3 linked regions of the Canis lupus familiaris genome follow. The main gene of each other region encodes a partner of the protein of the gene in region 2 in a complex. Links are inferred from orthologs where the notes say so. Each region holds a gene or a part of one and is shown on either strand. Other genes may lie near its edges. The genes, in order: OBSL1, CUL7 and CCDC8.

The links.
Region 1: CUL7 (region 2) and OBSL1 share a complex: the UniProt entries of both Homo sapiens proteins name them as parts of the 3M complex. The link is inferred for Canis lupus familiaris from reciprocal best matches to the Homo sapiens genes CUL7 and OBSL1.
Region 3: CUL7 (region 2) and CCDC8 share a complex: the UniProt entries of both Homo sapiens proteins name them as parts of the 3M complex. The link is inferred for Canis lupus familiaris from reciprocal best matches to the Homo sapiens genes CUL7 and CCDC8.

The regions. Positions count from the first base shown.
Region 1 is NC_049258.1:25,941,684-25,945,205, reverse strand, and holds part of OBSL1 (obscurin-like protein 1), read left to right. Parts: intron 1-1,546; coding exon 1,547-1,819; intron 1,820-2,554; coding exon 2,555-2,830; intron 2,831-2,906; coding exon 2,907-3,194; intron 3,195-3,386; coding exon 3,387-3,522. UniProt on the Homo sapiens protein: Core component of the 3M complex, a complex required to regulate microtubule dynamics and genome integrity. It is unclear how the 3M complex regulates microtubules, it could act by controlling the level of a microtubule stabilizer.
Region 2 is NC_049233.1:11,759,613-11,763,680, reverse strand, and holds the start of CUL7 (cullin-7), read left to right. Parts: upstream 1-1,259; 5' UTR 1,260-1,510; intron 1,511-2,351; 5' UTR 2,352-2,359; coding exon 2,360-2,939; intron 2,940-3,704; coding exon 3,705-3,856; intron 3,857-4,000; coding exon 4,001-4,068. Other genes in the region: MRPL2 (39S ribosomal protein L2, mitochondrial), read left to right, coding at 1-184, 532-744. UniProt on the Homo sapiens protein: Core component of the 3M and Cul7-RING(FBXW8) complexes, which mediate the ubiquitination and subsequent proteasomal degradation of target proteins. Core component of the 3M complex, a complex required to regulate microtubule dynamics and genome integrity.
Region 3 is NC_049222.1:110,057,534-110,061,659, reverse strand, and holds the start of CCDC8 (coiled-coil domain-containing protein 8), read left to right. Parts: upstream 1-1,314; 5' UTR 1,315-2,056; coding exon 2,057-3,622; 3' UTR 3,623-4,126. UniProt on the Homo sapiens protein: Core component of the 3M complex, a complex required to regulate microtubule dynamics and genome integrity. It is unclear how the 3M complex regulates microtubules, it could act by controlling the level of a microtubule stabilizer.

The sequences.
Region 1 (3,522 bases), on a different chromosome or scaffold from region 2:
ATCCCTCCGGCACCTGACGCCGTCCTGCTGCCCTGTGCCCTGCCCTACGTCGAGAGCCTCGGTCCAGACTGAGTGATTTAGCCCCCCCTTCCCGCACCCCCTGCCTTCCAGATAGTGTAGCCTGGCACACACCAGCCACAACGCCTTTCTGCACACGTTCCACCCTGTAGCGAGGCCCTTCAGGCTCTGGCCAAACATAATGGCAGCTACACACATTTCAGCCCACACTTGGCCTCCCCACAAAACACCAGACTCTTCGCAGGGAAGTTGACACAAGCACCACCTCGGCTTTGGGCCAGGGAGGATCAAGTGTGATGCCAAGCTGAGGTCCCACAGCTGTGCAGACAGCCCAGCCCCAGCCCCACACCCTGTCTCCACCGACTGTGCCCACCGCCTCCCCTCCCCCACCCAGGCAGCCCCGCTCTGCAATCTGCCAGGGAGCCAGCCTGCATCCTCTGGACTCTAGAACAGGCCGTTAGGGAGGTGGGTCGTTAGGGAGGTGGGGCGTGGAGGCCGAGGACTTGAGTGTGTGCTGGCGAGCACGTCAGCCCGCGCGCAAAGAGTGGGGCCGGGAAGCTGGCAGTTCCCGAGCCTCGCCGCCAGGCGGCTGAGCAGTAAAGGCGTCCTAATAGTGTCCTGGAACCTAGAATCTGGGAGACGTCCAGGGTGCGTGGGAGCCCGAGCTACCTTGGGGCCCGGCGCACCAGTCACTTCCAGGCTTGACACAGATCCTTTTTCTGTGGAGGAGTGACCAGTTCTGAGCGGTTGGAAATGAACTCCCAGAATCAGGGTTTAGCGTCCCCGGGGATCTCAGACAGGTGTGGGCAACCCCCCCAGGCCCAGATGCAAACATCGTTACTGGGCTCTGCCGGCCTTGGCTTGCGATCCCTACCACTGCTTGCAGAGTCGGAGCCTCCCTTTCGCAGATGGCAGTTCTTCCTCCTGCCCCAGAGTAGGCGTAGTCTGCTGTGATCTGAAAGAGGTTGGGTGATCACTCCGTGCCTCAGTTTCTACATCTGGAAAACAGGGATAAAACCCTACCTACCTCTCCAGATTGCTGTGAGGGTTCAGTGTGTAAAGCGCTCAGGCCTGTTCTGGAGCCTGTTGGCTGTTACAGATCCAGGGTCTCTTATTCACAGCTCTGACCTAAAAAAACTTCTTAAAAGCAAGACTTTCTGCAAGTTTGGGGTTCAAAGCCATGGCAGTAGGACCTGAGCTTAACTGCTGTGAAACTGGTTCTACTCTTTAATTCTCCTGCTGAGAGCATGTCCATGTGTTACACTGCAGAGAAGTTGGCGGGGTCATTGGTGGGGAGCATGCCCGGGGCAGGGAGGGGTAGGAGGAGCAGGTGATCTAGGATTTGTGATCTACGATTAATGCGCCATCTCTGGGATCTGAAGCGTTCTGGGTCCTATCACAGCCCTGGCCTCAGGGATTTCAGATGGTGATCCTTATCACTTATTACCGTGAGCGACAGGAACTTCGAGCTGCCAGGGAGGCGGGTGGTGAGTTTGTGACAGCTTGTGACCCCACCTCCACCCCACAGAGCCCCCCGTGCGCATCATATACCCCCGGGATGAGGTGACTTTGATCGCCGTGAGCTTGGAGTGCGTGGTACTGACGTGTGAGCTGTCTCGGGAGGATGCCCCCGTGCGCTGGTACAAGGACGGGCTGGAGGTGGAGGAGAGTGAGGCCCTGGTGCTGGAGAGTGACGGGCCACACCGCCGCCTGGTGCTGCCCGCGGCCCAACCGGAGCAAGGGGGCGAGTTCGTGTGTGACGCCGGAGATGACTCTGCCTTCTTCACTGTCACTGTCACAGGTGGGCCGTCTCTGGGCCCCCTGGGGAGCTAGAGACGCAGGAGGCTAAGGGACAGACACCTGACCTCCTCACTTCCTGCATCTTAGGGGCCCCCCATCTGGCCCAGGAAGCCTGCCCTCCCCCAACTTCCTCATTCTCAGCCATCTGAGAGCGCTGGCTTGCCCAGATCAGGCCATGACAGTGACTCGAGGTCTGGTGAGGACAGCCCAGCAGTTAGGAGCATCCATTCATCAAATATGTATTGAGCAACTACTATGTGCTCAGCCCAGTTCTGAATGCTGACAGAGTAGCAAGCCAGTAAGAGCAAAGCTCCAGTTCTCCACTAGAATTCGAGGATTCGAGGACGGACAGACAACTAGTAGGTGATAAGTCCGTCAGAGGCTAATCGGGGACAGGGGGTACGGAGTGGGCATGGCTTAGGGAGGGGTGTGCGTTGGGGTAGGGCTGGGTCTACCTCTTTCTGTCCGTGGGACCTTGGGCAAGCCACTTTCCTCCAAAGAGTCCTCGAGTCCTTATCTGTAAGGTGAAGCCAACATTAGCGCCCTTCTAGGGAATCAGGAATAGCTGTGGAAAGAGCTCAGGGTGCCCAGCACAGCACCTGGCACGCAGTAGGTGCCCATGGATTGGGGCCAGACCCAAGAGCTGCGCTGGGAAGAGAGAGGGCTGAGGAGCCGGGGGCCAGGCAGGTGGAGGCCTGCTGGCTGAGCCTGAGCACCTCTCCCTTCTGTCCGCCAGCCCCGCCAGCAAGGATCGTGCACCCGGCAGCCCGCTCCCTGGACCTGCAGTTCAGGGCTCCGGGGCGCGTGGAGCTGCGCTGCGAGGTGGCCCCTGCTGGGTCCCAGGTGCGCTGGTACAAAGATGGGCTGGAGGTGGAAGCGTCCGACACGCTGCAGCTGGGAGCCAAGGGGCCTGCTCGCACCCTGACCCTGCCCCACGCCCAGCCTGAGGACGCCGGGGAGTACGTGTGCGAGACGCGTGATGAAGCCGTCACCTTCAATGTCAGCCTGGCTGGTGGGTGCCTCCTGCCAGCCTGGGTGCGGGGGATGGGGTAGTGGACCCCAGCCGACAAGCTCCTCTCTCTGTCCAGAGCCCCCAGTCCAGTTCCTTGCCCCAGATGCAGCCCCTACCCCCCTCTGTGTGGCCCCTGGGGAGCCGGTGGTGCTGAGCTGTGAACTGTCCCGGGCTGGCGCCCTCGTCTTCTGGAGCCACAACGGGAGGCCGGTGCAGGAGGGCGAGGGCCTGGAGCTCCGTGCCGAGGGCCCCCGCCGCATCCTCCACATCCCGGCTGCAGACCTGACCCACGCAGGCCTCTACACCTGCCAGTCCGGGTCGGCCCCCGAGGCCCCCAGCCTCAACTTCACCGTCCAAGTGGCTGGTAAGTACGGCCCGGGCAGACAGCCTGAGAGAGTTGTACCCCCAAACCCATACGAGTCTCCCCCGCTTCTCTAGCATGCCTCGTCCATCCCTCACCCACCTCTCAGTATCTTACGTCCCACTCCCTGCTCGCCCCCTGCCCCGTAGCCCTCAGGCCTCTCCCTCCCAGTGACCCCCAGCTCTGACCCCACAGAGCCCCCCGTGCGCATAGTGGCCCCCGAGGCAGCCCAGACGAGGGTTCGCAGCACCCCAGGCGGGGACCTGGAGCTGGTGGTGCACCTCTCAGGGCCGGGGGGCCCCACACGCTGGTACAAGGATGGGGAGCGACT
Region 2 (4,068 bases):
TCTGTTCCTAAAGGGCAAAGCAAGGTCAGGGTATGGGCTATGTCGCCCTGTAAATTTTCCCCCGCCTCCTCGTTTGTGGAAGACAGCAAAGTGGCTTCCCTCTTCCCCAGGGACATGTGGTGTGCTGCTTCGGAAAGTGAATGGGACAGCCATCATCCAGCTGCCATCCAAGAGGCAGATGCAGGTGTGTGTGAGTATAGGTGGGAGGGATCAGCAAAGGAGGAATTATCGGAATGCACCTTTCTTGTCTGGGATAGTTCCCAGGTGTTTTAGGAACCACCCTGAGCTAGGTGTGTCCTTTTCTGCCATGTGACCAGGCATGCCCTGTCAGGCTGGCACTATAATGGGAGAGGGAATAGTGCCTTTTGTTTTCAAATTACCATAGGACCTGCACTCAGGTTCGATGATGCTGTGGTTTTTTCCTGTCCTCTCCCTTCTCTCAGTGAGTGTAAGAAGCCTCCCCAGAGTCAGGAAATCAACGTCATGTTCTTTCCCAGTGGTGCATTCTCCTCCATCCGCTTTCTCCGTCAGGTTCTGGAAACGTGCATGGCAACAGTGGGCCGGGTATCCAACGTTGATCATAACAAACGGGTCATCGGCAAGGCTGGGCGGAACCGCTGGCTGGGCAAGAGGCCTTCCAGCGGGCTATGGCACCGAAAGGGGGGCTGGGCTGGCCGCAAGATTCGACCATTGCCTCCCATGAAGAGTTATGTCAAGCTGCCTTCGGCAGCTGCCCAAAACTGATATCGCTGAATTCTAATAAAATCGCTCCTATTTTTATCTGTTACTGTTTTTTGGGGAGGGAGGATGGTACATACTAGACCTGGGGGAGTGGGGGAACACAGGTGCAAACAAGGATGGAAGAGAAAGGAAAGGACGTTATGCGGCGAAGACTGGAGCTCTTCCCCTCTTTTCTAGCCACCCCACCCACCCCCGACTCGTGGGGGTTTTTTTGTTTTTTTGTTTTTTTTTAAATATAATGGGAGGAGGAGGAATAAATGACCTCCAAGGTCTTCTTCGGTTCTGACTTCGGGAATTGGAGAGAACACTTCCGGTGGGAGGAGGGAATACGGAAAGGAAGAGGAAAGGGCGGCGCAGAGGAAAAGGTGCCGCCCGTTGCCGAGGTGGCACCGGCGACTCCGCCCCAGCGCTCTCCTAGGGCCCCCAGCTTTCCGCTGGGTCAGCGGAAATGAGCCGCAGCTCCGGGCGGGTGGCGGAGCCCCAGAGCTGGGCGGGCGGCGCCGCTGGCTGAGCCCGGTCCCGCCTCGCCCCGGCGGCCGCTGACCTGTGCGCGCGGGCGGTGACAGTGGCCGCCCGGGGGTGCTCGGTCTCTGCGCGCCACGCCCCCGCCCGTCCTTCGGAGGCACGCCGCCTCCCGCCTCTCCGCTTAGACCCCCTCGGGGGCCCAGGCGGGGCCCAAACCTCTGCCAGCATCGCCGCCATCGTCTGCGCTGCGTCCCTAGCTCAGCGAAGGACAGGCCTCGCGCCGGGACCCCCATCGACTTCTGAGGTGGCCAGAGCCCCGCCGCGGCCCCTGCCCCTACCCTGGGTTTTCCTCTGCACACTCGCCCACCGGCCCCGCGCCCGCTCGATCTCGCGTCCCCCTATCCTACTTCCACAGTGCCTTGGGGTTCTCGTTTATCCCGTCTAGCCTCCTCCCCTGCACCTTCCCACGCGCCCCCAGCTCCTCGGGTCCACCTGCCTCTCGCCGCTCACCCACCGTGTCTCCTGTGCACCCCGTCCTGGGTCTCCCGTCGCCCCCACCGGCCCTGCTGCTCCAGTGTCCCCAGTCCTCGCCTCTGCTGCCCACCAGCGTCTCCTCCCGGCCCATCGCGCCTTGCCCTCACCCCACCCCAACCCACCGACAATTCTCCGGATCTCTTGTCTCTTTGACACACTCCTGCGCTTCAACCATCAGACCTAATGTCCTTTTCCAGGCACTCAGGGTCTCACTCCCCAACACACATAGCCCACCCCCACACCCCTCCGGGCTTTATTTATCTCCTCAGGGCTGCTGCCTGTCCCAGGGCCTTGGGATTCACTTGTAACTCCAAGGTTGCCCTGCCCACACTGTCCCCTTCCCACTGCTCCAAACCAACCCACTCCAGTTTGCAGGGCCTTCAAAACCCCCTTTCAACCAAATTTTGTGTTCTTAGAACAAACACCCCAGTGTTCCCCTGCTTAGGTCTGGCCCCACCCAGCCTGCAGCAGGCAACTCCTGGGCCCTGCTTTACTCCAGCCAACTGGACAGCTGTTACCACATTTGCTTCCCCAATTCCTGGACGTCCTTGATTTTCTGAACTCCCACTCTCATTTTAGCTTGCCTGTTCTCTTTTCCTTGTGTGTCTCAGGTGCCAGAATGGTGGGGGAACTCCGCTACAGGGAATTCAGAGTGCCTCTGGGACCTGGCTTGCATGCCTACCCAGATGAGCTGATCCGCCAGCGGGTAGGCCACGATGGGCATCCTGAGTACCAGATCCGCTGGCTCATCCTCAGGCGTGGGGATGAAGGGGAAGGGGGCTCTAGCCAAGTGGACTGCAAGGCTGAGCATATCCTACTGTGGATGTCCAACGACGAGATCTATGCCAACTGCCACAAGATGCTGGGCGAGGACGGCCAGGTCATCGGCCCCTCTCAGGAGATCACAGGGGAGGCTGGGGCCCTGGACAAATCTGTGTTGGGGGAAATGGAAACTGATGTGAAGTCTTTAATTCAGAGGGCCCTCCGGCAGCTGGAAGAGTGTGTGGGTACCATCCCTCCTGCTCCTTTACTTCACACTGTCCATGTACTCAGCGCCTATGCCAGCATTGAGCCCCTGACTGGGGTATTCAAAGACCCAAGGGTCCTGGACCTGCTCATGCACATGTTGAGTAGTCCTGATTATCAGATTCGCTGGAGTGCAGGCCGGATGATACAAGCCCTGGCCTCCCATGATGCTGGTGAGGAACAGTGTGGGGAGAAAAGAAGGGGAAGCTGGTTAGCTTGGGGCCTCACATGACACTGTGGCAAGAGCCTCTGCCTCATCAGTGCCTGAATAATTCTGTTGTCCTTCTCTTTGAGTTGGAAGAAAAGGAGATAGGAAGGTAGATAGGGACATCTCTGTAGGAAGAGGAAGGGACAGGTTGTGGGTTGGGTGAGGGAGTGCCTGACTGGCTCATTCAGAAGAGCATGCAACTCTTCATCTCAGGGTTGTAAGTTCACCTTTTGGGGCATAGAGTTTACATTTATTTATTTATTATTTAATTAATTTATTTATTCATAGGGGTGGGCAGAGACATAGGTAGAGGGAGAAACAGGCTCCATGCAGGGAGCCCGATGTGGGAGTCGATCCTGAGTCTCCAGGATCATGCCCTAGGCCTGAGGCAGGTGCTAAACCACTGGTGCTAAACCACTGAGCCACCCAGAGTGGATCCCTAGAGTTTACTTTAAAAAAAATTAGAAAAGAAAGAGAAAGGACTGAATCCTCAAGAATCTCACATTAATCGAATCTCTACGCAAAGGAAGAGTTAAGGTATTTGATTACTGTAGGATATATATGTATATGAAATATGAATATAGGAAAGATAGTAAGTTTTTTTTAAGCTAATTAGCAAAACATTTCATCCCCAAAGGGTGACAAAGGGATTGGACTGAGAGAGAAGAGGGTCTAGGAGGGATGCCCGGAAGGGCAATGTGAGCAGTTACTGACTGGGTGTGAGTTTCAGGGACTCGGACCCAGATCCTTCTGTCACTAAGCCAGCAAGAGGCCATTGAGAAACACCTGGATTTTGACAGCCGCTGTGCTCTACTAGCTTTGTTTGCACAGGCCACACTCTCTGAACACCCTATGTCTTTCGAAGGCATCCAGCTGCCACAGGTATTCTGTGGGGAGGTTTCGGTAGGGGGGTGCTATAAACAAGACCGAAGTACCAAGCCTTTTTACCTGCCCTTAAAGGATGGTGTGGAAAGAGGAGCTAAAGCTGGGACAAGGTGGATGTAGGCCAAAGATTGCATCCTACAGGTCCCAGGAAGGCTACTCTTCTCCCTGGTGAAGCGCTATTTGCACGTCACTTCCCTTCTGGACCAGCT
Region 3 (4,126 bases), on a different chromosome or scaffold from region 2:
TCCCTGCTGGGCAGGGAACCCAATATGGGACTCGATCCCAGGACTCTGGGATCATGACCTGAGCCAAAGGCAGATACTTAACTACCTGAGCCACCCAGGTACCCCGAGTAGGTGATATTTACATCCTCAGCTATAAATGGGAATGATCGGACCCCTGGGTGGCTCAGTACGCTAAAGCGGCTGCTTTGGGCTCAGGTCATGATCCAGGGGTCCTGGGATGGAGCCCCACCTCTCCCTCCCTGCTCAGCAGGGGGTCTGCTTCTCTTCTCTCTCTGTTCTCTTTCTCAAGTAGATAAATAAAATCTTTTAATAAAATAAAATAAGGGATCCCTGGGTGGCGCAGCGGTTTGGCGCCTGCCTTTGGCCCCGGCGCGATCCTGGAGACCCGGGATCAAATCCCACATCAGGCTCCCGGTGCATGGAGGCTGCTTCTCCCTCTGCCTGTGTCTCTGCCTCTCTCTCTCTCTCTCTCTCTCTCTCTCTCTCTCTCTCTGTGACCATCATAAATAAATAAAAATTAAAAAAATAATAATAAAATAAAATGGGAATGATCATATTACCTGTATCATAATGTTATAGGGAGGATTTCATGAGTTAGTCTGCAGAAAGCACTTAGAATGGTGTCTAAGGACGCAGGAGACGCTCCATAAAACCTGACTCTCCTTTTCACCGGATGCTTCTTTTTACAGAGCTGCATAGTCTTTCAATGCGAGAACCGTACAACCAAGCCAGCGCCTCCTGATGAACACTTCGGTTCCTTCCTTCACCCCCACAATCTTTATTGAGCACCTACCGTGTGCCAAGCCTGGTGCTAGAGGCTAGCGCAGTTACGATCCTGGTACTAATCTCTCCACCGACCTGTAAGGAGGTCGGAACCTGTATGGCTAAAGAGGTAGGGACCTCTTGGTACCCAAAGTCACATGATGTGAAGTGGTCACCTCCAGTGCCAGTGGCTGGTACCCAAGGTCACATGGTGTGAAGTGGTCACCTCCAGTGCCGGTGGCTTTCCAAAGGACCGCCCCGTGAGCACCGCCACCTCCAGGGCTCGGCTGGAAGCCCCGGCTTTAGCAGGGCAGGTTAGGGAACTGCCGCCTTTCCCCCAGGGAAGGTGCTGACGTGGGCCCCGGCGGGGGCGTCCGCCTCGGGAGCGGTGGCCCCAAGGAGGCCCGGAGCGCGGCCACACCCCTGTGGGGGAGGGAATAAGGGCGCCCCGAAGGGAGTGGACAGCCCCCCTGTCAGTCTTCCCGAGTCCGGGAGTGTAAGATGAGAAGGGGAAGGTGGGCCTCCCCGAGGGGAGAGCGAGGAGGAACTTCCTGCCCGCGCTCCTCGGCGCTGAGCGCTCGGGCTGGGGAGGCTGTGGGCGCGTCAAGGTCGGCCTGGGACTGGGGTGGCCGCCTGCCCGGGGGCGGGAGACCCTGGGGGGCCGGGCTGCGGCCCCCAAGCGCCTCGGCCTTATTGAAGAGCCGTCTTCGTGTGCGAAGGCCTCTCCCAAGCTGCGGGCGCGTCCCGAGGCAGGAAGAGCCACGGGGCAGCCCGTGCGCCCCCACTAGCTTGGAGCCGGGACTCCACGTCTGCAGCTGGCGGTGGGCTTCGAGCCCCAGGACTCGCCTCTCCCGGGCTCACGTAAGCATCCTGGGGATTGATTCCCGCCAGTCCTCGGTGGTGGGCGGGGAGCCGGACTCGGTCAAGACTGGACTTTGTGGCGGGCAGAGGAGTCGGGAGGGGCTGGCTCATCCTTGGCTGCAGAGGTGAGACCCTCCCCGGGGGCAGTTCTGCTGGGACCCCCACCCCCAAGACTCAGGCCTATTTGTAGTTTGGGGTCGTTGCCCCCAGCCCAGATTTCACCCTGGAGATCTTAAAGACCCTCGAGAAAAGCCACGTGGGGGGCTGGTTCCCCTGGGGCTTCCTCCCATCCCCCGACTCCCTGATCCTCTGGAGCGTCCCTGATGTGTGCAAAGATGTGGATCTGGACGTCCTCGTGGAAGCCTTGAAGCCCGTTGGGACCTTTAAGAAGATTGGCAAGGTGTTCCGCAGGGAGGAGGACTCCACGGTGGGGATGCTGCAGATCGGGGAGGACGTCGACTATTTGCTCATCCCCCGGGAGGTCAGGCTGGCCGGAGGCGTGTGGAGGGTCATCTCCAAGCCTGCCACCAAGGAGGCGGAATTTCGGGAGCGGCTGATCCAGTTTCTGGAGGAAGAAGGCCGCACATTGGAGGACGTGGCCCGCATCATTGAGAAGAGCACCCCACACCCGCCCCAGCCCCCCAGAAAGCCCAAGGAGCCCGGAGGGAGGAGGAGAGTCCAGCAGATGGTGACCCCTCCCCCACGCCTGGTCGTGGGCACCTATGACAGCAGCAATGCCAGCGACAGCGAGTTCAGTGACTTCGACACCTCCAGAGACAAGCGTGACAAGGGTGACAAAGGTCACAAAGGTGCAGGGCGCAGCAGGAAGGTGCGCAAAATGCCAGTCAGTTACCTGGGCAGCAAATTTCTAGGGAGCGACCTGGAGAGCGAGGACGACGAGGAACTGGTGGAGGCCTTCCTGCAGCGAGGGGAGAAGAAGCCCAGCGCGCCACCTGCCCGCCGCCGGGTGAACCTGCCAGTGCCCATGTTCGAGGACAACCCCAGGCCGCAGCTGTCCAAGGCTGACAGGTGGCGAGAGTATGTCAGCCAGGTGTCCTGGGGGAAGCTGAAGCGGAGGGTGAAGGGTTGGGCGCCCAGGTCCAGCCCCGAGGTGGGCGAGGCCCGGCAGGCCTCTACCAGGCTGGAGAGGGTTGGGGCGTCCATACTGGGCAGAGCCAGCCGGGGGGTTAATGTGGGCAACACAGGAGCTGAGCAGGTGCCTGAGAGTCCCCCAAGACGATGGAGGCCCAAAATCAACTGGGCCTCTTTTCGCCGTCACAGGAGGGAAGAAGCAGCATCCACAGAGGAGGGGGCAGAGGTTGTAGATGATCAGAGAGCAGAGGCTGCAGATGATCAGGGGGCTGAGGCTGCAGATAATCAGAGGGCAGAGGCTGCAGATGATCAGAGGGCAGAGGCTGCAGATGATCAGGGGGCTGAGGCTGCAGATGATCAGGGGGCTGAGGCTGCAGATAATCAGAGAGCTGAGGCTGCAGATAATCAGAGGGCAGAGGCTGCAGATAATCAGAGGGCAGAGGCTGCAGATGATCAAAGAGTAGAGGCCATACCTGTCCAGGGGGCAGAGGCCATAGCTGTCCAGAGGGCAGAAGTTGCAAGTAGTCAGGGGGAAGGGGCTCCAGATAATCAAAGGGCAGAGGTCCCAGTTGTCCAGGGGGCAGAGGCTGCATCCGATGGGGCAGAAGCCATAGCCAACCAGAGGGCAGAAGCGGCACATAACCAAAGGGCAGAAGCCCCAGCTGCCCAGGTGGCCACAGGGACAACCCAAGGAGCTAAGGCCCGGAAACAGGTCAAGACAGTGAGGTTCCAGACCCCTGGACGTTTTTCATGGTTTCGCAAACGCCGGAGAGCCTTCTGGCACACTCCCCGGTTGCCAACCCTGCCCAAGAGAGTCCCCAGGGCAGGCGAGGCCAGGAGCCTTAGAGTGTTAAGGGCAGAGGCCAGAGCAGAAGCAGAGCAGGGAGAGCGAGAAGACCAGCTGTGAGGTGAGGGCAGGGGTGCCCTGGGGCTCGCAGCCACCTGCCATACCATCACCACTCTGGGCTCGGCCCTCCCTCCCCTGCACTTGGGTGGAGATGCCCTTCCTGCCACCATACTTGAAAATGCAAGTGGACAAGGGTCGGGCAGTGGTCCTCCCATCTCCACCCAGCACCCATCTTTCCTGTTAAAAGTTTATCTTTCATGCATTGATTTTTTGTTTTTAAAGACTCTTTCTAGTCACCCAAGGAATGTAAAGAAACAGAGCCATACAAAGGGGTTGCATCACTCATGATTTTAACTTCTCAAATGCGACTCTAGGTGCTCAGCTTGGCGGGGGCAGGATGCTAGGGAGAAATTTCCTCCCCTCCCCCTTTCTCTTCTTTTCTCCTGCACACTTAACATTGACCGCCTCCTTGAACTTAAGAAAAAAGGGGCTCGAGCCGACATGCAAATAAAATGCTTACCACGTGATTTCCTGGCTCTGGACTGGGCAGCTGAAGAATGCTCC